Daphnia pulex: one gene and its partner. The protein of the gene in region 1 purifies or fractionates together with the protein of each later gene. This does not show direct contact. Links are inferred from orthologs where the notes say so. Each region holds a gene or a part of one and is shown on either strand. Other genes may lie near its edges.

Region 1 (11,488 bases):
CGTCCCCCCCCCCCACACAACTCTACACATTGCCGAGCTTATTGTACTCGACTCTATATGCACGAAACTCGTTTCGACGATCTGCGGTAATCAAACAATTTTTACACAACACCCATCGTCCGACCTACTTCTCCCATTCCGACTATCGTTGTCTACCATCCCCATACACACACACACGAACCAGTTAAGATTTTAAATGAAAAACGTCATAACTCTTAATTCAATTAAGATATTTAAAAAAAACTTGGCTTTAATTCGATGCAGATGTGGCCTTGATTGTCCCAATCATCGACCAAATTCACTTACATTTCTACATCATTCCGAATGAATTTCGATAATTGAAAAAGAGTAGACGCTGCTGCTCTCAAGGACTCCCGACCACAATCATCATCTAATAACAAACAAAAAAGTTGAAACGAATTATCATCTCCCTATAAAATACAACCAGCAGTTGATCAAAACAACATAAATCGAAATGAAGGCCGTAAATGACATGAAAAATAATACCCGGAAGATTTCTCTCTATAGCTCTTTTTAGACAACAGTAGCAAAAGTTGTTTACCAATGCAATTGTGTGTGAATTCCCTGGAAGTTGCTGCATCGTGGTGGAAAGCGCTAAGCGGATAGAAAGTTTTCTTTCCCTTTTTTTTACGAATTTGTTATTATTGTTGTACTACTACTGTCATGTGTGTGTGGGTGTATGGGGTTTTTTAAAACACTTTCTACACTGGCGGAATCCGTCGAGGTCGCTGTCCTCTTGCCGCTTTTTAGCTGCTGCACATTCTCAAGCTATTTTCGACATTTCCGAATTTTCTATCGAAAAAAAATCATAACCTTGGCCGGAACTGAAGAAAACTGATCCCTTTCGGATGGAGCACATGAATTCAATAATGAATAACATACGGGAGTCATCCAAGACATCCCAAGGTTTTTCCATAGGAAATTCAATTAAAAGTTAGAGAAATCTTTCCCTCCATCAAACGATATCAATCGGCCATGAATCGATCGCCTTTGATGACTTTTGCCGATGCTGCTGGGAAGACCTTCTTTTCCATCACTTCCGTCATGACCTCCCAAAGTCAAGTGTGTCAACAAACCCTGCCGGTGTCTCTCTTCTTTAATCAAAGCCATTCCTCCTACATGTCAAAAGGGAAAACCAAATTGTGTGTGTTGAGTTTTCTTCAATCCTAGTTTTTTTTTGAAGAACATTTAGTTTCAAAATGAAATAATCAGCGCCACCTAGTGGTGAAAAATAGCTAAACAAAAAAAGAAATCTTTATTCAATCAATCATCTATCAATTTCCGTGTTAGGCAGACAAAAAAAAAAACAATCCAAATTGCAAAGAAAATTGTCTTTGTTTATGGTGGGTATGCCATCAAGCGAAAAGGGGAAAAAAAGTTTGTTGATGGCCATTGACGGGAAAATGTAGGGAAATCAAAATATTGATGACACTCGCACAACTTTCCAACATTTGGTTGATTTTTATCTTTTACAAGAAAAACAAAATTTAGGAAGAGGGAACCACTAAATCAAAAAGCTGATGGGCGGAAAACAAACGGATAAACAATGAGAGGGAAAAAAATGAAGAAAAGTTATTACTTTTTTTTATATCAGATGATGATGATTCGATCGAAGTCAATTAGGATCGAAATCGCCCACTCCACCTACATCGAATTTGAACAAATGAAAAACACATGGCGACTCAATAGAAGAAGAAGAAGGGAAAAAAAAACATGAAAAATGGCCGATTAATTAATTATATGGGGGTAGAGAATAGGGCAGGGTGGAGGCGATTCTTTGTTGTTTTTGTTTTATTATTATTATTATTATTATTTACTCTTTAAGTGTTTCCGTGAAAGTATCGCTCTGCGTTAGGGAAACGTTCGGCATCGAAATCGGCGTCCGTGTCCAGCCTGGCGTTGCCCAAACGGCGGATTTCCGGCAAAAGGGCGCTGCCCACTTCGACATTGGCAGTGGCCACATTCGTTACTTCACCAACGGCGGCCGACGAGACGTTGGCAGAACGCAGGGCGCGTTCCATCGTTTCTAACATTTCAGAAATTAAAAAAAAAAAGGGTTTTACAAACGTTGTATAAAATATGATGAATGAATTAATTACCCTGGAGGAGCAACTGAGGATTTGTGTTGGGTCGATTGCCTTCGGCCAACTTGCGTCGCTTATTGGGAATTCCGGCCAGGTAGGCGTCACTGAGCGGCACATTTGGCGGAGCTCGATTTTGACGTTGGATATCACGGGCAATCACCGGTACCCATTCCTGTCAGAAAATTGTATTTAAAAACAAAATTAATTAAAAATTTGGGTGGAATGAAAAACGATTTCTAAAAATTCTGACCCGTGGGACTTCGTTGTGCCACGACTGAGAGCCCATGACGACGTCAATGACCGGCTCTGGAGGTTTCACTTGGCTGGATTCCTTTTGACGAACATCTTGGCGGAGTTTCTCTAGTCGACTAAGTCTTGCGGGCTGTGCAGAAACTGGTGCGGATGCTGCTTCTTCCGTCTTCTCTTCTACCACATCCATCGGTTCTTCTTCAACTGGTGCCGTCGATCCAGTAGCCACTGGGGGAACAGACTCGGGAGCAACGACGGTCGCTGCGGCCGGTGAATTTGTGTCGGTCATCTCTTCCACTTCTGCATTGAAAAGGGCAGTCCAGGTCCTTCCGCGTTCCGTGTTCATCACCATGGGCTCAATAGTTGGCGTCAGTTGATCCAAATCGACGGAAGCCAAAAGTGAACGAAGACGTTCGATCGACGAATTTGTCGTCCACTCTTGGACTGCTGGATGAACTCCATCCGATACTCCACGCTACATTTTAATAACAAAACAATTAGCGCCTCAATTCATTATAATAATTCATTTAATATCCTACCAACTGAGATAGGAAAACGCGTTCAAGACTAGTGGAACCATCGGTGAAACAATTGAGGGCTAAAGCTGCAGCGAGTATTAAAGTCCGGCGGATTTTATCCATCATCAGTTGGCCGAAATTCGGATTTTCACCTTAAACAAAACAGAAAAGTCAATCAGCTATCAACGTCAAGTACAAGTTCAATAATACCTGGCATTCCAATTAACTGGATGACTTCGTGAAGACACTGCTGGATGAATTGGGCCATGGTAGCGACGAAATCCACATCGGGACGAATGCTGGCCTCGGCCTAAAACCAGACAATTTAGTCAATACTTGAAATGAAAAATGTAATAATAATAATCGTGTCCTACGGCAGCACTCTGGAGTAAGGGCATGGCTTGATTGACCAGTGTCATGATGCCCTGTCGGACGGAAGGGTCTGAAAAGTCACCACCGGAAGGTAAGACTCGTTGACGAGCGAAATTCCTCAAATGATCTCTCATCTGGTTCAAAGCCTCCGGCATTCCGTAAAATAGGGCCATCAAATCACGGAATGTCATGTGATCCGCCTTTTTAGTCAAAAAATAAAGGTCAGCTGTTAGTTTTTGAATGGATCGTTTCATCATCGTCAAGGTAAATTTCACCATAGTCATAAAGAGGTCAAAGAGGAACGACTCGCCGGCCGTGTAAGTGAAATCAGGAATGTTGCGTAAGAAATGGGCCACCGTGTTGGGCGACTGATGGCCACTCACCACACCCGCAACTTCTTGCATGACTCCCTGGAGCAAACTACTAAACAAGGCGTTGGTTAACACTGGATTAGGGCTGCTGGATCCATCTCCACCACTCGTTCCACCTGCTACTACCCCGCCTGATAGTACACCGCTATTGGCCGTCACCTGAATTTCCATTTAATGACCAATCATTATCAATGTTTTCCTCTCGCAATTTTCAATGCCGCAATTACCTGACGAAACATTTCGTTCATAAATTCGTCGACGGAGGCCGGAACGGCTGTCGGTTGATTTCCAGGGCCTGGTGGACGGGTTTGATTGAGACCGGGAAAAGCTTGTGCCGCCGACGTGGAAGTGACAACCACTGGGCGTGGTCTGGCTCGCTCAGTGTCGGGTCTGGATGAAGACGAGCGGGTAACATGTCGAGAATGACACGGTAAAAAGTCGTCAAATTCGCCCAAAGATGTTGGTGATTGCCCACGAGACGCTTGTTGATCTTCCTGTTGATTGTTGTTCGAGCGAACTTCCATAAAGAGCGACATTGGATGCATTTGACCACCTAAATTGACAGGGGTCCAGCCTCCTTGACTCGCCATGGCTAAAGGCAAACGTCCAAACGGGTGCGGTCCTCCCCTGACCAGCATTTCAGGGTGCAGCATTTGGACTGAGGCTCTTGGAGCTGGGGGATTCTGCGCCGATGCATTAGCTACACCCGTTCCGGTCGTTCCAGCAGCCCGCCAACCATGAAATGTCGGATTTGTAGTTGGAGGAACTGATGGATTGGCAGCAGTAGCTGCAGTGGGTGGGCGGGTAACGTGTCGGATGAACTCATGAGGAGATATTCTTGTGGGCAATCGCGGAGGAGCTTGCGCTGGTTGCGGTTGAGGAGCTGTAGCGGCCTCAGGAGCTGCTGGGTTAGCCTGTGTCTGAGGAGCTCGGTGGGTATGTGTAGTCTCGACGCTGATTGAAGCGTGAATGGGTATGGTCGATGAAAGAACTTGTTGGTAGACGTAGGGTCTAGCACGGACTTCACGAGGAGGGGGAGTTCCAAAGTCAACCATTAAATCGCTCATGGCGTGAAAAGCGTGGGCCAAAAAGTGCAATCCTTCGGCTACCTTTTGGATCAAAAATCAATTGAAAAACATGGAAAGGAAAATATAATATGATTTTACTGAACCTGGTTGTAGGTGTGTTGTGCTTGCCGGTATTCAGGTGATGTGCTGTCCAATACGGGATCATCTCTGAGGAGCTGACGGACGGTTGTCAAATGAGGGCGAAGATCCTGCTGGATCCGTTCCATATCTTCGATGACATCGGCAAAGACAGACACTCGAGGATTTCGAATTTGCTGTTGTCGAGGTTGTTGGTCACCAGGAGGAGCTGCAGCTGACGACGGAGCTGACGAAGGAGCCGACGAAGGAGTTGCAGATGGGGTGGTTGAAGGAGGAGTTGTTGAAGGGGGTGTTGTTGAAGTCGGAGCTGTAGGACTTACGCGTTCGCTCGCGCCACTGCCACTCTCTGGTGGATTATTTGGTTGAGGCCCTTGCACCCGAAAACCAAACGATCCTTGAACTGCTGGTGATCCATTAGGTCCTTGCAACACGGCAATATTGTTTGCCCTGATAAAAAGAAACGTAACTAACATTTTTAGTTTTTTAGTTTGGAGGTTTGTCATTACCCCAAGGATTGAACAGTTGAAAATGCAGCAGCTATAGCAGTGGCAGCCTGTGCTTGAACCATTTGTATGGATGAGTAGGGTCCCTCAGCAGTATTATCCATTGTAAAGAGTGAACCAGTGCTGGGAACTGAACTGATCCTTCCCAAACTCTGTGAGGCATCCTCCAGCATGTGTCTGGCTGTATTCAAACGCAACAGAGAACTACTTCCGGCTGGAGCTGGTACTGAACCTTCATTTGATCGTAAACATTGTTATTGAGATTTCTACTTTTAATAATGATGAGAAATTTACCAAATGAATGATTGGCACCATTTTGAAACCCTCTGTCTAGGTGGTAGTGAATGTTTCCTGGTCTAGATCCTTGAGTTCTTGGTGGTCCTGAAGGAGGATTACCAACTGTTGGAGGTGCTCTCTGGACCAAGTGAATGACTTTTCCACTCAGGTCTGTAAAACACAAAAACATTTACATGCCAATCATTTGTTTTGAGCTAGGAAAGAGTATTTTCAATTTACCATATTCACTGAGCTTTTTGTCATCTTGAAGAACTCTGCCACAGTAAATCAAACGCTGAGTCTCTGCTGGTGTTCCTACATCCCCAGCAATGTGTTCTTTAAGTTCCTTGACTGTGAGCTGCAAAACAGAAATCCAGTTAGTTTCCCCTATCTAAAACTCACGAGTCGTTTCTTTTAATGGTCTTACCTCCTCTGAAACTGTGAATTTATGATTACGCGAATCGAGGGTTTTGACGGTAACTTCAATATTTGCCATTTTTGTTTAGCTTTCACCACCTCGAGTTCCAACCTCGCTGTAGTTTGGTGACGATACAGACACACTAATAATAATTATTCGGTTTCAGTATTTTTTATTTTACCGATCTAACCGGACGGCTCTGAACCGACGTCAGTTGTGTAATGGGTGTCGAAATGTAAATCTCTAACGTGGAAAACTGGAAATCGGGCCTGTAATAATACACGATAACAAATAGAGGCGCAACTGTCTCCACATCGAATCGACACGACACGACACAGCCGACAATTCATAGGCTTACGAACCAAGTTGTGTTACAACGCCACCTATTTCTCTTGGTTTTAAACCGTAAAAGAGGAATTCACTTCAATTTCATGATAATTTGTACATTTTACGAACAAGATTTTATCTAATTTTACACGTTATATTTATCAATGACAAATTCAAGGAAAAAATTATTTTATGAAAATCAATTCCTGGAATGAGCACCATCTTTTGGTGGTTTTCGATAGTCGAGGCAAGACAGGTGTAGACGAAATCCAATGGCGAGTTAAATCTAAAAAAGTGAGCGAAGCAGTTCAAAAGTCAGAACACAACAACAATGAATGCACTTGATGTTAACGAAGCCAGGAAACGGTTGGTGGATGTTTTGGGAGATTCTTCTAAGAAGTAAATAAATCAGATTTGATATTTGTGGTGGTATATCTCTAATATCATGTTTTATTTAGTTATTTTGCCCACCTGAAATCGTGGTTTTGTATGAGGGTAAGAAATGTTTCTTTTATACTATCCATTCAGTCATAACTGACATTCTCTCTATTTAGACAAGCAAAGAAGAGTTTGATCGCCAAGCCAGATTGTACCTGAAAGTAGACCAAGTTCATCTTCACAATGAGTTTCTTTTGGCCATTGTTACAAAATGTCAAAGCTTGTGCCAGCCTTCAACCTATGTCTATCATGGTGTGAAGCAAAAGCCAATTGTTGTCACTGAAGTGAACAAAATCAGACCACATACCATTCCTCTACAGAAACGTAATTCTGTTGAAATCAAACCGATCACTGTGACAAGACAAGTTTACCCAAAGAACAAGCCTCTCACTGTCAACTTTGATGTAATATGTCTTAATTATTGGAATTTTCATTGGAGACCTTGATTAACATAATTCTTTTCTTATCTAGAATCGATTCCAACCAGTGAATCCAGTTTCTCTGTTACCATTTTCTGCTCCTTGCACTGTAGAGAAACCACAGCTTCGTTACTGCAGCCAGGATCTAATTTTACCTGACGCTGGACTCGTTCACGGTCGAATGCTAGTAGCAGCTTGGGATGCTGGTTTGGATCATGGTTGTGAAGACAAAGCCATCAAACTGATACTGGCAGCTACCAAGCAATTTCTTAAAGAACTGATAATTGCTATCATAACAAACCGGAAAGGGTACCGCCTTCGAGAGAACAAAGTCATCTATTCGGTTGGCCAACCTACAATTAATCCGTGGCTACACAATTCATGGTCCATCCAAGACAGTACCAGTAACAGGTAAATATTTATTGTACAGTCCTATTCTTTTTCAACAACAATGTTTCTAAGTGTTCTCATTTTAAATCAGTTATCTGACCGAAATTTCGCAAGCTGCGGAACCACCTCACGTTCCTGCCATACCCCAAACATCTCAGAAAGCAGAGCGGGATTCCGCATTCTACCTAGCGTGCACTACCGAACAAGTTACCGCACTTCAACCGATTTCCGTTCTTGACGTTTTTCAAACTTTACAAGTAAGTCGATATTTAATTTCAAAACTTCAAACTAATCCTCATGTTTCTTTATTGAATAAACAATAGGTTAAAAAGGGCGTCATTCCCTGGCACACAGTGCACGCCGTCAATATGGAACGCATTTCACAGCGCCTCTATCACCCCAATTAAACTCGAATCTACTTGCTTAAAGAAATTATAACGATTAAAAAAAAAGATGTTTGTATTGTCGACGAGGAGGCCATGAGAAGTCAAGAATGCCAGGAAACTTTTTTATACCAAGAAATTGCATTTTTTTTTCCTCAAAATTCTCCTATAAAGTACACACCTCAAAACTGCTTTTCATCGTCTTTTTTCCCATTATTTTTTGTTGTTGGTTCATTGCGACAAAGCTAAATGCGCGGTCTACGTGTCGGAACGCCAGAGCTTGATAGTCTTATCGTTCTCCAATGCAGCAGATGCGATGATATTATCGGTCGGATGGCATGCAGTACACAGCACGACATCTAGAATGAAACATGAAGGGATATAAGTTCGCGTGTGACGTCTAGACAAATTAAATGTGAAAGAAGGAGCAGGTCCCCCGGTAGGAAGCCTTACCGGTGTGTCCTTGAAGTTTCTGAACAATTTCCTTCGTTTGCAAGTTCCAAATATAAACCATGTTGTCTTCAGAGCCGGAAACGATCCACTGCAGAAAGAAAAACATGTTCAAGTAAAAGAATGAAACGTGGATTGTTAAAGCAGTACTTTTCCTCCAGTAACCGAAAAATTGGCAAAGATGCAATATTTCTCGTTTTTGTGGCCGGTGTAGGTTTTCAAGCATTTGCCCTGAAACGAGCCAAAGAAAAAAGAATGGTAAAATCTGCAAAAATCTTTAGAGTTGAATTCATGATGACACCTTGGAATAGTCCCACAACTTCAGTGTGTTGTCGAGAGTTGCAGCCAGGATGTATTTTCCGTTGGGTGAAAATTTGACAAACGAGACGGGAGGATTGTCATCATCGATCAGCGTTTTTAGGCACTGGCCGGAAGCCGTGTCCCAGATGCGGCTGTAAACAAGTGATCAACACCACCAATCGATAAAATTAAGAGGTCGAATTTATTTAGTAAAATGAACACGATTATACCAAAGGCCATCGTAGCTTGACGAAACGATAAGAGATCCGTCCCGGTTAAAATGAACCGCTGATACGGGATCTGAATGGGCAGGAAGGGTTTTCAAACATTTTCCGGTTTTGACGTCCCAGATGCGCACACTCTCGTCAAACTGCAAACAATTCAAAAAGGTCAATAGCCTATTTTAAAGAAGGCGAGTGGTTGAAAACTTACTGAGCCTGAGACAATCAAGTTGGATTGGGGATTGAAATTGCAACAGAAAACATAATTGCTGTGTCCTTTTAATGTCTTCAAACATTTCCCCTATAAGAACATACATGAATTAGAGATGAGCTAACATCACAAATAAATGGTTAAAGACTTACTGAGCTCAGTTCCCAGATCTTGAGGGTTTTATCATCACTGGCAGACACAAGCAGGCGGCTATCAGAAGACCAAGCTACATCTGAGATACCAAGTTTATGACCTGTGATTGATTTCTCAAATTTGCCATCATAGGCACCCCAAATCTTCACCAGTTTATCAGCAGCTATTCATGATAAAAAAATTATAACATTATTAGAAATATAATTCTCCTGAACATACACCATCAAAATATTTACATGAACTTGCAAGCCATTCTCCATTTGGGCTGAATTTCACAGCTGACACAGCTTTTGTGTGGCCAGCTAGGGTAAACTTGAGGGCATAGTTTGGCTTCTAAATACAATATTGAATTAAGATTACTTTTTATCCTAAAATGCTGTAAGAATTGAAAATTCCGGGTTGGAAGGGTTACTCACCAACCCCGATGCTGGCTTTGCTTGAAGAGGAGAAGTAGTTGAATTATTACTGTGGTTCTTAAAATCCTGATCACCTTTCATTTTATCATCAGCCATTTTGATTAAATAAGAAGTTGCCAACAGTATACTTGAATCTCAAGCACAATAGCGAATTTACAATGTTTTCCTGGACAGTGATGAGTGGACTCAACAGTCAGCTGCTACACTGGCACAGGATTGTTAATCAGTGTTTGGCAACTATCCAAACTGTATTAATATTTTTTGTTTTTTTTGCAAATTTTTCTTATGATTCGTAGACGGCCTCAACACCTTTCTTTTATTTAGTGTAAGGTACGCACGAGATTTGCCCAGCTGTGTGCCTTAATAATATTTTGCATTACAGGCACTGAACTGCGGTAATAAAGAACATGGTCGTTCTCTTCTTCTTCACCAACTGTCACAAGCAACACTGAAACACTCAACACAAATAGTGTAATAAGTGAATCCAATTAAAGTCGCCGTCAAAACGTGAGAATCCAACAAAACGCAACACTTAACATTCGTGACAACGCTTTCGGCAGCACGGGTTTACTACTCGTGTTGAGCCAAACGTCCACCAGATGGCGTCGACTTGATCAGCGACATCTATGATTAACTAACCAAGTTTAGACTGGATTCGCGCCAAGAGTTTGAAATTTAAAATCGAGTTTCCTCGTTCAGGTTTTATCTCATGCGCAAGCTTAGTGGAAATGGGGTGAACATGTTCATTTCAACCATAAGTAGTTCACTACTAATCTAGACGTATTTGTCGTTTATAACACAAGAGTAGTCATGTGATTTAATAGTAAACGGTAAAATGCTTTTAATCTAATGATCTAATTATTTGTTTTCAAAATATCAGCACTATGTCGTAGAGATTTAGATTCACAGATAAACGAGTAACGATGATCGGTACAACTCAAGTCATTCCATTCATGAATAAGGAGGGTTTCATTAAACGTTAAAACCCAAATTAGACATTCTTCTTGTGTACTTCCATGTACACGTGATGGTTCTCCCTCTTGCCAATTCATTTCTCTCGTGAGAATATCGCCTGTACCAGCCCACATCCAAGTTGATCGATTGCCGTAAAGACGATTACCGGATGTCAAGTATAATTGTTTTTGAACTAAATTTTGAAAATTAGATTTCATTCAATTATACTTTGTAAAGAACATTTCCGTGATCACCATTTTTTTTCTCTGCTTTGAGTTGTTTGGCTAAATTGTTTTCTTCTTCTTTCGTCTCAAGCGACAGCAATTCCATGCCGTACTGCCGGCAATAATGGAGAGCACTCCACCAGTTTCTCTGTGAAATAATTAGTGATGTAACCCAACAAGTGATTGAATTTCATTTAAATGAGACTGCTCTATATGTGTTTTATAATACATCTTCAGAGACGATGCAGTAGCATTCGCCGTTTACTTTCAAACAACGAAATTTTTTGGCCGTGAAATGTTTTGGGCAAGTTCCTTGTTACGCGAATTAAAAGATCAATTAAAGAAAGGTGAGTGTGAATAACTAAAAAGAAGTTAACCATTCATACCATGAATCAGGATATCGTTAATGTGATCCTCCTTTGAAATCTAATATTAACACAAAAAGAAAATTAATTTAAAAAACGACTAATTACAGATTAAATGATTTACCGTTTCAATCAGTGCAAAATATTCATCCTCGAGACTTTCAATTTCTTGTAAAAAGCTCGTGGATTCAGCACTAACAGGTGTAATTGGTACTATCACGCACAAACTGGCCATCAAGAAAACGATGAACGAGAAACT
Region 2 (12,483 bases), about 830 kb from region 1:
GCTGGCAAGGCCTTTTCGTCAAAGGAAAACACGGAATCACTCGACAAGGCAGCGACGATTGTCGGGAAATGGCATAGAAAACCAAAAAAAAAAAAAAGGAAACAATTCCAAGTGTTACCTGTCATCTATACGGTGGCGAAGACACAGAGAGATACACCAATTTTCTGTGTGCTGGAAAAAAAAGGATGCGGATCGTTGTCTCAAGGTTGCCGGAAGGAGAATCAAGACGATTTCTGCGGAACGAACCAATCCAGTGTCCCCGAAGAAAAATAATACCAAGGCGGGAAACAAGAATCGTGTAACGAAAATCTCGAAGTTTTTTTTTTTTCAATTTCCACTACGCCGCGTTGATTCGTGCCGTGTGTTGATTTAATTGTAAAACGAAAAAAAGAAACCGAAAATAATTCATTTCCAAATTCAGGAGAGACAACAAGGTCGGTGACGTGACATCTTGTCTCAAGTTCAATCTTCTCCTCCTCGTCTCAAAGTGGTTAAAAAAACGTCATTTCTTTATCACCTGTTGTTGGTGAAACATCTTCTTTTTTTTGTTTTCCCGCCCGGCCATAATCGTTTGGCAGAAGCTCTAAACGCATCAACTCCCGCCCCGTCATCTCGGCTTCGTTTTGCGTAACGTACAGTAGCACAAGAAGAGGACTCGAGTCGTCGTCTTTTCAAACTCGAGTGGGTCCTCTTCTTCTTTTGATGGTTTTACAACGCCGACCTTGGCCGTCCGTCAACAAGTGACTAGTAAGAAAAAGAAAAAGAAGAAAACCTGAAATAATAAAAAAAAGGAGAGGAATTTTAGTGACAAACTTTTTAGGTTGCAACTTGCCAACACCTCATCACGCAACACGTCGTCTATAGCTGGTTGGTTACGGACCGTTGATGATTATGGGCCCCCGCATGCAAAGTCATTTAGTATTTAGTAATTGCGCAGCACGTAGAGTGAGAGTGAGACACCCAACCAATTTCATTCTTTAGGCCGTCAGGATGATTCCGAATATGTTGATTTACATGCGGAGAGAGAGAGAGAGAGAATATAAGCGCAAAAATAGTGTAGAGGAGGAAAAATGGTGAATACAACATACCAGGACACTTTCACTTTCTTTCTTGTTATTATCTACGTAAGAATATTCCTCCAGAGGCGTCATCGACCGGACTCGGGTTCTTAATAACTCGGAAAATGGTTTTGTTTGGCTTCGTTCCCACTTCGAACCATTTCTTTTTTCTTCTTTCTAACTCGTAACCGAAAGATGGTCAGGAGTTACACAACAACAATTTGGAAACGGGTTTGGGTGAATGCAAATTAATTTAGACATAATGAAAGCTGTAAATTATATTATGTCCTTTTTACCAAAAAATATATTCGTCTGGTGGGCTCTGCCGAAATTGAATTTTGTGAAGGCCGCGGTCGTCAAACTACAAAATATTCAAAAAATGATCAAATAAATAAATTATAAAGGGGAATATGATAATGGAAAAGATGGACCGGCTCGTGCTTAACCCGGCGTCAGATTACCAGTTTCGATAAGGGGAAAAAAAGAAATACAACAACTTCCAGGTTTAGGAAAAAATAAAATAAATTTTCTTTCCATCTCTTTCAAATTTCAACCAACACGAAATAGGATTCCGAATCGGTCGACGACTCGGTCGGAATCGTTGATGCGGAACGGCGTACACGAGAAAAATAAAATCCTATCACGATCTTTCGTCTTCTTCTTTTCTCTATAAAAAATAAAAAAAAAACCCGAAACGAATAAGAATCAAAAGTAATCCCCTATGTGTAGAGAGGAGAATACAATCAAGGACATTGTTAGTTTAACAATTCCAGAAAGAAAATCTCCTATTGGGCTTCTCAAATTCGTTTTTCTCCTTCATCTTCTTTCGTCAGAAACATCTAAATTCGATTTTTTTTTTAAGATTTCAAGACCTAGCCGGGGTTGTTGCTCCTGGATATATCGTGTAGTTAAAACTCTTTCAGTTCTGGTTTGACCCCGAGATCGTGCAAGAGCTCGGTGGCGGCGGTGGTGGCCATCAACTGGCAGCAACAACAAAAAAGAGTTTCCACTCAATTGGTGCTGGACGTGTAGATGAGATCTGGTTTTGGGTCGGCCGGCTCAACCCGTTGGGTTCCTCAATTTTGTTCAAAGATCATTGTCCTAATGTGTCCTCGCCCCTCAACTGATTATTTGACCAAAAGACACGATCTCGAGACAAAACACTTTCCAATCGATAAATTCCGATTTTCCTGAAAACTTTTTAATTAGCAAAAGTTAAAAAAGAAAAAAAAGGAATTGGGACAAATGGAGAGAAGACGAAAAAATAAACACGTTCAAAGCAAAATGTGTGTGTGTGACGGGCGAAATTTTCTCTCTCCATTTCGCTCCAGGTGATTTATGATTCCCCGACTGTGCCAATAGAACGGGCACGCAGAGCTGGCACACAAGAGCGTGCTGACCCATTTTCGATTCTTCTGCCAATATTGTTCGCACTGTGGTCAGCCCTATTGGCGCTCGCCTAGCTAAGGTCAACCGTCGTCTGTGTGATTGACATAAATTGATCGGTCCGCGATTTCCACCGCATATGAAATAATCTGCCCAGTCATGCTCACGTAGGCTACCGTCTCTCGTGTGTCTATAATAACTGCCGATGTTACGTGCGTCTTTTTTCTGGGGGAATTTCGGTGGGCATTTCGACATACCGGATTCTCGAATGATGAAAAGGTCAAACGAAAAAAGGGAAAATAACTTTCGATTCTTTTTTGCTGTGCGTTTCCATCTGACATTTCAGCCAGGAATAAAAGAAAAACCTGTTTTTCGATGTTGAGCATACACCAGGGAGGGCCAACAACTTCGGAGGAGAAATATCCGACACACAGAGAAAATGCGAGAGAGTTTGTTCGTGTGTTTGTGTAGAAAAAGAAGAAAGGGAGAGGAATATATAAATAAGATGAAGGTTTCAGATAGATTCTTCTTCTTCTTCTTTCTTTTCTTTTCTATACAAACAGACTATCCAGCCGAGTCAAATATACACACGGCGATGTAGGACTTGTCCGCCGAGCAAGTCCGATGGCTCTCGGTTGATATAAGGTACAAGGTCACCACCTTCCTGGTCATCCCAAGACTAGAAGCAAGACACTCAAAGAAGAAGAAGAGAAATACCTGATGTCTGTGTAGTTTTTTTTGTTTATTATCTTGCGCTCCTCATCATTGGAATAGGACGACCCTGGAGACGATATTGGGATGGATGTCCAGTCTCTTTCAGCTCCTTTCTCTCTCTCTCTCCTCTTCGACTCTGCAGGTAATAAAAAAGACAAACGAAAAATATAAACAAAATGGTTAAATGTAATAGACCCATAGAGTTCAGGACCCACTGGGGGGAAAATAGGTAAAAAGTAGTCGAAAATAGCTGTTATCCCCCCATCTCCAAATGAAAATGGAACACAATCAGGATTGGTGGATTGTTGTGTTGAAAGAAGAAATAGGGGGGGACTGGGTCACTGTGCTTAACCTTGTGCCCCATCGCCCATATAAACACCGAGACCAAAAGAGAAACAAAAAGTCGGTTGTCAGTTGGGATATTTGTTAAAATCCCAATGCCACCCAGCAGAATATAGAAAAGAGTCAAAATGTATGTGCACACCTTTACACCCAAATGTGGAAGAAGATTCTTTTCTGTAACTACCTCAACAGTTGGGCAGGCCCTGACCTTGCCAAGAGGCTCTAGGGTTGCCATGAAAATATTTTTTCTAAAACGTTTACGAATCAAATAAAACGGATAACATTCATTTGAATCGATAAAGGGGGACACCAGCTGGGCAGCTGGTCCCTTCCAAAACATTCGAAAACCAGGAAAAATGTTTCTCAGTTGTTACGTGTGTTCAACAATGCGAGGATGAACGAACAGACAAGATGTAGGAAACTCTCCAGCAGGCCCTTTAACAACCGAAGAAGAAGAAGGGTGAGAATGACTCGGTTGGTTGGCAGCGAAAAAAGAAAAGAGATGAAAAACACAATTCCACGATGGCCGATTATGGCATAATTGGATACACCAGCAGGTCTCGAGAGAAAAAAGGGAATTACCGTATACTTATATGGGCTGGTCATCAGCAGGGCGAAGCCATAGGGTTGTTGGATACGTTTGAAAGTATAGAAAAACATGTATATACTTAAATATTGGGAAGCGAGTTCTTCTCCAGCGGCCATTTAGACACATTTCCAGTTTCTTCTTCACGTCCTCGAGGGGCTTTGGGAGTCCTTTTTTTTTCTATTATCAGCTATAAAGTTAAGCTTCGAGAACCTAAAAGAAAAGAAAAATAAAATGAAAAAGAATCCATTTTGAAGGGCATTTCGACTATATAACACTGGCAGACATCCCCAAGTTCTTTTCTTCAAGATTTTGACTTTCAAGGCCACAAGATTATTCCACAACAGCATCATTATTCACGACACATCGTGTCCAATTGGATATCACATGGTTTTTTGGCCACCTCGAAAGCGTTATTATGAAAATTTCGCGTCAAGAATGACTTAACACGTGGGGAGAGATAACTATTTACACACACACACCAGCTGATTGACCATGTCGAATTTATTAACCTTGGATTGATCTTAATTCATTCAGACATGTGGCGATTGAAATGCATCGCCGACATAATCTAGTTTGATTGCCAAAATTGATTGCAAACCAGTTGCCACTTACTTATGGCAGAAATGTGATGTGTTGCACACGTCGTCGATCTCGGCCATTGTGGTCGAATATCGTCGATAAAGGAGACGGTGACGTTTGGTTATTTCACGGCTCGTTGCAATAGCTCAACTTTCGATTTTATTCCACTCCGTTTCACTTCATCCAAGGGCTTCATCATCCGTGTAAACATCACTTTCCAACATTGTTGTTTTTTTAATGCAAGAGTTTCACATTCCACGAGCATTTTGATTCTGGCAAAACGTCTTCTTCGAAATCCCGACCTCATTTTCACCCAGCCAAAACATTGCCAATTATCTTGAATTCGGAAGAAAAGGGGGAAACAAAAACACGTTTCGTTCCAATCTTTTGAAATCATTATATAAAATGAGGTTATCTCCTGGGGAATTGCTTCCTGCACCAAAAAAAAAGTTCACTAGTCCATGTATTATTTCCGAACAAAAGCTAGCGGTTACCACATTTCCGGCGGCCAGGATATAATTGATTTGTTGTCTGCGGTTTTCACACAAAAATCTCCCTCCATTTTTCCTCAAAAAAATCTTGTCTGCTCAACGTTGCACGAGGTTGTTATTTTGGACAGAAGATGGCGATGGCGCTTTACCATTTTAGCAGAATAAATTTTTTTTTTTGGCCTACAGAAAAGGAAAGAAGCTATGGCGTTTAGATAAATTGTTTCTTCTTGAGAAAGCCGTCGAGGTTGGGCTTGTAGAGGCCGAAATTTATTAATTTTCTATAAGGTCTCTATTAAAACGTGTGGAATTATAAAGCCGCCAACATTTTGCCCAAGTCTAATTCACCGTCGGTGGCCATGTCGGCTGCCCATGGCTGTCTCCACTTGAACAACTTCAAAGCGGCCAAGGGGACTAGGCCCTACCGGCTCATTCATTCCTTTTTTGTGGCATGCACATCTTCAGAAGCCCGTAAACGCAAGGTAAGAGTTCAAGTATTGTTTCTTTTAAATCACTCCTTTACTCATCATTTTTGTTGCTAGGCCAAATCGTGTGTGTGTCATGTCTGTCAGCGAAGAGGACCCAGGCTTCATGCCTGCCTTCACTGCATTTTCTTTGGCTGCTATGGTGCTGGTCACATACAGGCCCACTCTCAGCAGCGGAAACATTTCTTAGGTAATTCGACAACCAAAAATCAAATCTCATTGATACTAATGCAGCCTCCTTTTTTTTACAGCTGTAGATCTGACTTATGGAGTTGTGTGCTGCTTTCAGTGTGGGGATTACGTCTATGACCGAGAATTGGAAACTATTGCTCAAAAGCATCAAACCAAAGCTTCTCTCTCCTTGGGACTGGGTCAAGTCTATCATTCATGGGAACCTTCTGAGGAAGAAATTGAGCTCCTCAAAAAGCATACACGACGCAAGAAGATCACAGACTCTGCCACTATCGGTTCATTATTTAAAAAAATTCATTATCCAATCTTTTATCTTAACTCCATGTTTCATTCATGGCAGGACTCAGAGGTCTAGTGAATTTGGGCAACACCTGTTTCATGAACTGCATAGTACAGGCTCTCTTAAAAGTACCTCTTCTCAGAGATTTCTTCTTGTCGGATCGTCATATTTGTCAGTTCCAAGACGAACCGAGTCGCTGTCTGGTCTGCGAAATCTCTCGCCTATTCCAAGAGGTATGTCATCCAAAAAACAAGAATCCTCGTTTCCTGTGAGAAATCTATTTTCGGATTCATAACACTCCTACTAGACTTATCGCTTCTTTTTTAATCTTCTCTTTCGCAGTTCTATTCGGGGAACAAGGCTCCTCTGACATTGCACCGACTTCTTCACTTGATATGGACTCACGCTCGTCATTTAGCTGGATATGAACAGCAAGACGCCCACGAATTTTTCATAGCAACTTTGGATGTACTCCATCGACACTGCAGGTGAAATTATTCATTGGCTATAAAAGTCGTGAGAAACGTGACATTCTAAATATAAATGATTTTTAACAGAGGACCAAATGAGCAACAGTCGACTCAGCCTCAAGAGAACTCTGTCAATCGGTGCACATGTATCATAGATCAAATTTTCACTGGTGGTTTGCAGTCAGACGTCGTTTGTCAAGCTTGCCAGTAATAACTATTTCAAATGTTTGATGTCCTAAATTTGCTGGTCTTAACGGTTATTTTGTTTTTGTTCACTGCAGCGGTGTCTCTACAACAGTAGATCCTTTTTGGGATATTTCCCTGGACCTCGGTCCGTCACCCAGCACGAAAGTCGTCACCACTGGCAACGGCCCTGGATCGATTCCCACTTCCTTGCAGGACTGTTTGGAGCGATTCACCCGGGCAGAGCACTTGGGATCTTCGGCTAAGATCAAGTGTTCGCGATGTCTTAGCTACCAAGAATCCACAAAACAACTGACGATGAAGAAACTGCCAGTGGTTGCTAGTTTTCACCTAAAGGTGCGTATTGTTTTGTTTTTTTATTGACTTTGAACGTCATATTATGAACCACTCATCGTTATTTTTTTCTTTACTTTATGCAGCGCTTTGAACATTCCAATCGATTCCATAAGAAGATCTCGTCATTCATCGCCTTTCCAGAATACCTGGACATGAGTCCATTCATGTCCCACCGTCGAAACATCAATAACAACGTCAATTCGGATTCTCCGGACCGGGCTGATAGGCCCGTCCACAAGCCCCTTATTTCCACTGAAAACATGTAAACTTGTTGCTCGGTTTATTGAGAAAACGACCGAATGTGACTGTGACGGAATCCTCGTTGCTTCCTTCCTTCTCACCCCACCAGGTATTCTCTATTTGCTGTGATCAACCACGTCGGAACCATTGAAGCCGGTCACTACACGGCCTACATCCGGCAGCACCGAGACCATTGGTTCAAGTGCGATGACCATCTCATCACCAAAGCTGATATTCGCGACGTCCTCCAAAGTGAAGGGTATCAAATATTCCACAAAAACAAACTTAGTTTAAAATATTTTGCAATTTGCTTGGTTGTTCTTGGATATTAATTGGGTGATTTGGTTTTTCAGGTACCTACTCTTCTACCACAAGATGATATTGGAGTATGAATAGAAATGGAGAAGAAAAATGTTTGTAAAGGGCAGCTCAACCGAGTCAACTTTTTTTTTTTTGCATGCAACATCCATCCCTCCATTCACAAGACCTTTTTTTTGTTTGTTTTGTTTTTCCTTTTTTAATTTCCCTTTCTCACTTCCACTTCCAGACAGTTCATCGGCGGTTAATGACCGTAGAAAACGACCATTTTCATTTTTTCTTTTTTCACGATTCAATAAAATATGAAAAAAACACAAAATGGTTAGAACAAGGAATTGAAAGACGAAAAAAAAAGCGAGATTTCTCTGACATAAACCCTCCCATTGGTGTTTCTGCCCTTTGGATTCTTTTGATTGTAAATCCCAAGCAACTCTCTCTCCACCCCGCTCCTCCTTCGATCAAAGGTATATATAGTCATTTCCGGCTATTCTCCACCCGAACCCCTTCTCCCGAATCCGAATCACATACACGAGATCTACTTAAAACAGGAAACAAAAATGGACGAAGACCACACGACCATCCGCAATTGATTTATTTTTATTTTTGCGGATGGCTGGATTTCTTTCCCTATTTTATTGCGCACCTTCGATTTTCTTTTCGACATACTCTCTCGAATCTATGTGTTCAGTGTCGTTTCCTAGCTCTCTTTTTTTTTTTCTGTGTGTCTGCATGTGTTACGTCGGTCGTGAAATCAATAAAACAAAAACAAAAAAGTTAAGATGAACGAACGGAATCAATCCCGATTGAGGTCAGAACAAAGAGAGAGACGCGGAAGAAGAGAAAGCGTGACGTCGTCTGGGGGAGGGGAGGTTGACAGCAACGACGGATATCCGAAGTCGCGAGAGAAAGTTGTAATAGGCCCTCATCCATCGACTTGGTAAATTCAGGAAATTAGTTGGAAGCACAAAAACATCCCCCCTATTCAAAAAGAAACGAAAAGTTGAGATGTCTGATGACTGCGTTGGGAAATTTTCTTGTTTAAACGAAATGTGTTTCAGAAAATAAAAAAAAAAACGACACGTTTGAATGACAGCGCGGTTGCCGTCAAAAAAGGGTTGGCTGGAAACATGTTTCTTATCTCTATGATATTTCAATTTACAAATGAATCAAGACAGCCACTATTCTATAGCAAAACATTATTCTTCCTTTTTTTTTCCTTTTGAGTGGGTTAGAAAAACAAAAATCAACGAATGATAAAGAAATAATTGAGACGATTTAATTGTACAATAAAGAAAGGACGTGGTGGTTTAACTTTGGGCATTCAGAACATCTCGCGTTTATCGGTGGCGCCGCTCTTGACGCTGCCGCTGGCCTGTGCCGGAATCGTCATGGAATGTAGGATGAATTCTTCGGCAATGTCGCGGTCCATCCCCGTGTAAATGTAACCGCTGACCATACTCTCACCGTCGACGTCCATCGATGGCGTCGTCAGCTGTTGCGGTGGGGCCATACCGAAAGAGATGAATTGCTGAGGCCCACCAGTCGTCGGTCGTTTCGGTTGATGTTGAGTCGCTTCCGGTTGGTCTTCGGCCTCGCTGCGAGACTTGCGGACTCGTTTCTCATCCGAGCTGCTCTTGTTCTTCTTCTTTTTGTTGTCTTTCTTATTGTTGTTGTGCGGATTCTCACAGCGAGACGGGCCGGGAGTAGCGGCTGTGGGTGCAGCCGGAAGACTGGCCATCTCTGGCGGCCGGTGCATGTAATTAGCGTGGTGGTGCATGTGCTGCATAGAGGAAAAGTCATAACTCAGCACCAGATAGTAAATAGTCAACCAATAATGATACGTTCATGTTTTAAAACGAAAAATAAACAGTGAGTTTCATAGTTTCCAGTTGATTTATCTTTCTCTTTTTTTTATATTAGTTGACACACCGGCGGCTGGAAAAATAAAAGAATCGTAAAACCCGTGGACTACTAACCGGTGGCATGCTGGACGGGTGGTGGTGATGAAGAGAAGGAAGGCTCGTGAGCGAGTAGAAGGCTGGTCCGGAAATCATTGGCTGGAGTACGGGGACGGCACCGGCTGGAATGACGTAAGCGGTCGGAGCTCCGGTAACGAACGACGGGAAACCGACTGGCGGATGCCCGCCAGCCGCTGGCGTCGTCGGAATCGCAACTGGAATCGGATGGGCCACCATGGGGACCTTAATTGAAGAAAATACGTTCAACATTCGAAACGTGTGCGCAACATTTCCAACAGCATAATAAAAACAACCCAAGGCAAAGTAACACTTATTTAAACTTGGGTGTGTGCGCAATCACTGTACGGTTTGACCAGTATGTACAGTTTGCTACTACCAACAGCGAGTATATTAACGGTAAATTATTATCCAGCCTAATTCCGAGAGGCACAATGTAATCATAATAACGGTAATGACGTCAAAGGAATAATAAAGGAAAGAAAGAAAGAATAAGAAAATCTTTTGATTGTTGAAATCACCTGTGGGCTATAGAGGCGTCGGAGCAGAGGTGGCGGTGGTGGACGTCTTTGTTGTTGTTGTTGTTGCTGGTGATGATGAGACTGGCGCAACCAGCGTAACAGACGGTAAGCTCTGGCCTGACCCTCTGGGCTTTGATCGGCCGTCAGGAGATTCATATTGGGAACGGAACCGATGCGATTAGCGCCAATTTTGTGATGATGGCTACTGTTGCAACTGCTGTTACTGTTGACCAGTCGACGGTGTTGGCCGCCGCCTGCCGAAGTCTGGGGACCGTAACACAGACACGCTTCACGCAGGCAAATCACCACGGCCGCCAGCGACAGGATCGTCGACAAAGTTCCTATGGCAACTAGAACGGCGTTGATGATGATTGGCCGCTGCCTCAACGGCACAGTTCCGAGGAATTCCACTCGACTCCCTTCCTGTTATCCCAAATAAAAAAAAAACATCCAATTTGTCAATTTTTTCACGGCTAGTTGGACACCAATTTAATGAGAAACGTGTGCAATAAAAAAAAATCTGGGTTTCTGGGGTCTCGTAATTGGGTGGCATTGACGGTTCAAATTCTTCAAATGAATATCAAAGTCGCTGGCCTTTGCACAGCTGCTGGATATGCTCACGGTTCAGAGCGTCGACAATATAAAAGGCGCGTTGCGCAATGTTGGTTTTGCGGCATGAAAATGGGACAACAATGTGGATGACTGGGTGACGGGAATGTTTCGTCGGGAGGGCGGGTTTTTAGAAACGCTTCGTTTACTCTCCCGTGACCTTTTAAAAGGATGGAAGAAGAAGATTCGTGTTATTGAGTACCTCTTGATCGACAAAGTATCCGTGAGGTGCGTCCGAGTCTCGTGCCAGTCCAGTAGCGGCGAAGATGAGCAATAGACCGATGGCGGCCAGGGCCAGCACACTCATCAAAAGGTAGGCGACGATGTAGATCAGGTTGGTGCGCTTCTGGCCGGCCATGATGCCCATAAGGCCGCTGAGTATCACAACAGCTCCCGTCCATAAACCTTGAAAAATGTTCGATCAAAAGTTATTTTTTTTTTTGTTTTTGTTCCCATGGCTGTCACTCGGCTTGCGGTGTCGGTCGTTCAGACTGTTGACCATCATCGAATATGTGTAACGAAGTCTTCACGAAAAAAACAAAAAAAAATCACGTCACGTTATTATTACGGGAGGGAAAAATGAGAATCAACGTGAGAAACCAAAATAAGTTTCTTGTCCTATACCAGCCAGTCATCCGTCAACAGACAGCTGTGCATGGTCCATTGAGAATGATACCAACCTATAGCGCTGCCTGCCACTGATGGAAAACCCAAGGTGTGACAGTCCCGACCCACAATTTTTAATTTTTTAAGTTCGCAATGATTTTGTCTTTCTTCTTTTCTCCGGACGTTAAAGTTCCAGGGTCTAATTGGTCGCTACCTGCAAGGTGTGAAAGAGAAGGGGAAGCGCTCCAAACTTTCTCCAAACATTACACTAGACGTTGGGGTTAGCTACGAAAATTGTGCTTTCCCGAAAATTACGTCCATTTAAACCGCTCGGCGCAGTTATTATTACATTGTGAACGCTCTTTCACGATTTTTTTTTTAAATTTATTCCGAGGGGCTGCCGTTTATGGAAATAGGGTCCGCTATTCTCCGCTTCCCTTTTTCTTTCTCCAACAGGTTGTATAGTATTAAGTTTTTTATTATTAGCTATATAGAGGCGGGGGCATTGATGATTTAGGAAATTGACTGCGATGTTTATCTATTTTTACGATTCTCGCGTGAATGAAACATTTTGCTATTTGATAGACCCGCGAGGGACTTACCAATGCGTCAATTCGCGATCATAAAACTAGCTCAAATTGCGTCACACGCACAAATGCGACGGGACAAAAACAGTTAGAGCTAATTAAAGAAAAGAATAATCGTGTGAGAGTGGAGGACCGAGGATGACGGATTGAGGAAGCCATTAAAAGTTTAGGCCTTTTTCTTTTTCTTCGGACCGCAACAGTGCGTTTGAAAATGAGCCCGCCAAAAAAGAAAAAAAAAAAGAAAAGAAAGAAAAAAAAGTCGTGCTGAGCATCTTTCATCGTAACTGGACACCCGAGTTATTTTACACTTTAGAGGTACTACTACAACAGTTGGGATTTCTTTTCTTTTTTAACTCACCGGAACCGAGATAGGACATGGAGGCCTGTTCCCACAGAGCCAAAGCACCGAAAGCCACCAGCAGGACGCCTAAAAGGGTTTTAGCCATTCCTAATGCCAGGGCCAGCCGGGCGGGAAAGAGCTGACCCCGACCGATGCCGATGAC

Evidence for each region.
Region 2: the proteins of transcriptional adapter 1-like (region 1) and ubiquitin carboxyl-terminal hydrolase 22-like purify together in Homo sapiens (affinity purification with mass spectrometry; 4 studies listed by BioGRID and IntAct, with this or other methods). This does not show direct contact. The link is inferred for Daphnia pulex from reciprocal best matches to the Homo sapiens genes TADA1 and USP22.

Annotation. Positions count from the first base shown.
Region 1 is NC_060023.1:11,635,281-11,646,768, forward strand, and holds transcriptional adapter 1-like, read left to right. Parts: upstream 1-6,544; 5' UTR 6,545-6,636; coding exon 6,637-6,704; intron 6,705-6,763; coding exon 6,764-6,800; intron 6,801-6,859; coding exon 6,860-7,147; intron 7,148-7,214; coding exon 7,215-7,573; intron 7,574-7,643; coding exon 7,644-7,809; intron 7,810-7,875; coding exon 7,876-7,959; 3' UTR 7,960-8,126; downstream 8,127-11,488. Other genes in the region: large proline-rich protein BAG6-like, read right to left, coding at 1,842-2,047, 2,121-2,277, 2,356-2,829, 2,894-3,024, 3,083-3,182, 3,247-3,444, 3,520-3,774, 3,843-4,724 and 5 more; WD repeat-containing protein 5, read right to left, coding at 8,194-8,294, 8,389-8,476, 8,536-8,616, 8,687-8,837, 8,916-9,055, 9,118-9,207, 9,270-9,433, 9,507-9,603 and 1 more. UniProt on the Homo sapiens protein: Probably involved in transcriptional regulation.
Region 2 is NC_060023.1:10,807,873-10,820,355, forward strand, and holds ubiquitin carboxyl-terminal hydrolase 22-like, read left to right. Parts: upstream 1-5,300; 5' UTR 5,301-5,515; coding exon 5,516-5,638; intron 5,639-5,698; coding exon 5,699-5,831; intron 5,832-5,892; coding exon 5,893-6,108; intron 6,109-6,173; coding exon 6,174-6,346; intron 6,347-6,455; coding exon 6,456-6,601; intron 6,602-6,670; coding exon 6,671-6,790; intron 6,791-6,864; coding exon 6,865-7,123; intron 7,124-7,206; coding exon 7,207-7,385; intron 7,386-7,472; coding exon 7,473-7,622; intron 7,623-7,716; coding exon 7,717-7,759; 3' UTR 7,760-8,459; downstream 8,460-12,483. Other genes in the region: uncharacterized protein LOC124196741, read right to left, coding at 9,003-9,461, 9,658-9,882, 10,179-10,601, 10,990-11,192, 12,339-12,483. UniProt on the Homo sapiens protein: Deubiquitinase that plays a role in several cellular processes including transcriptional regulation, cell cycle progression or innate immunity.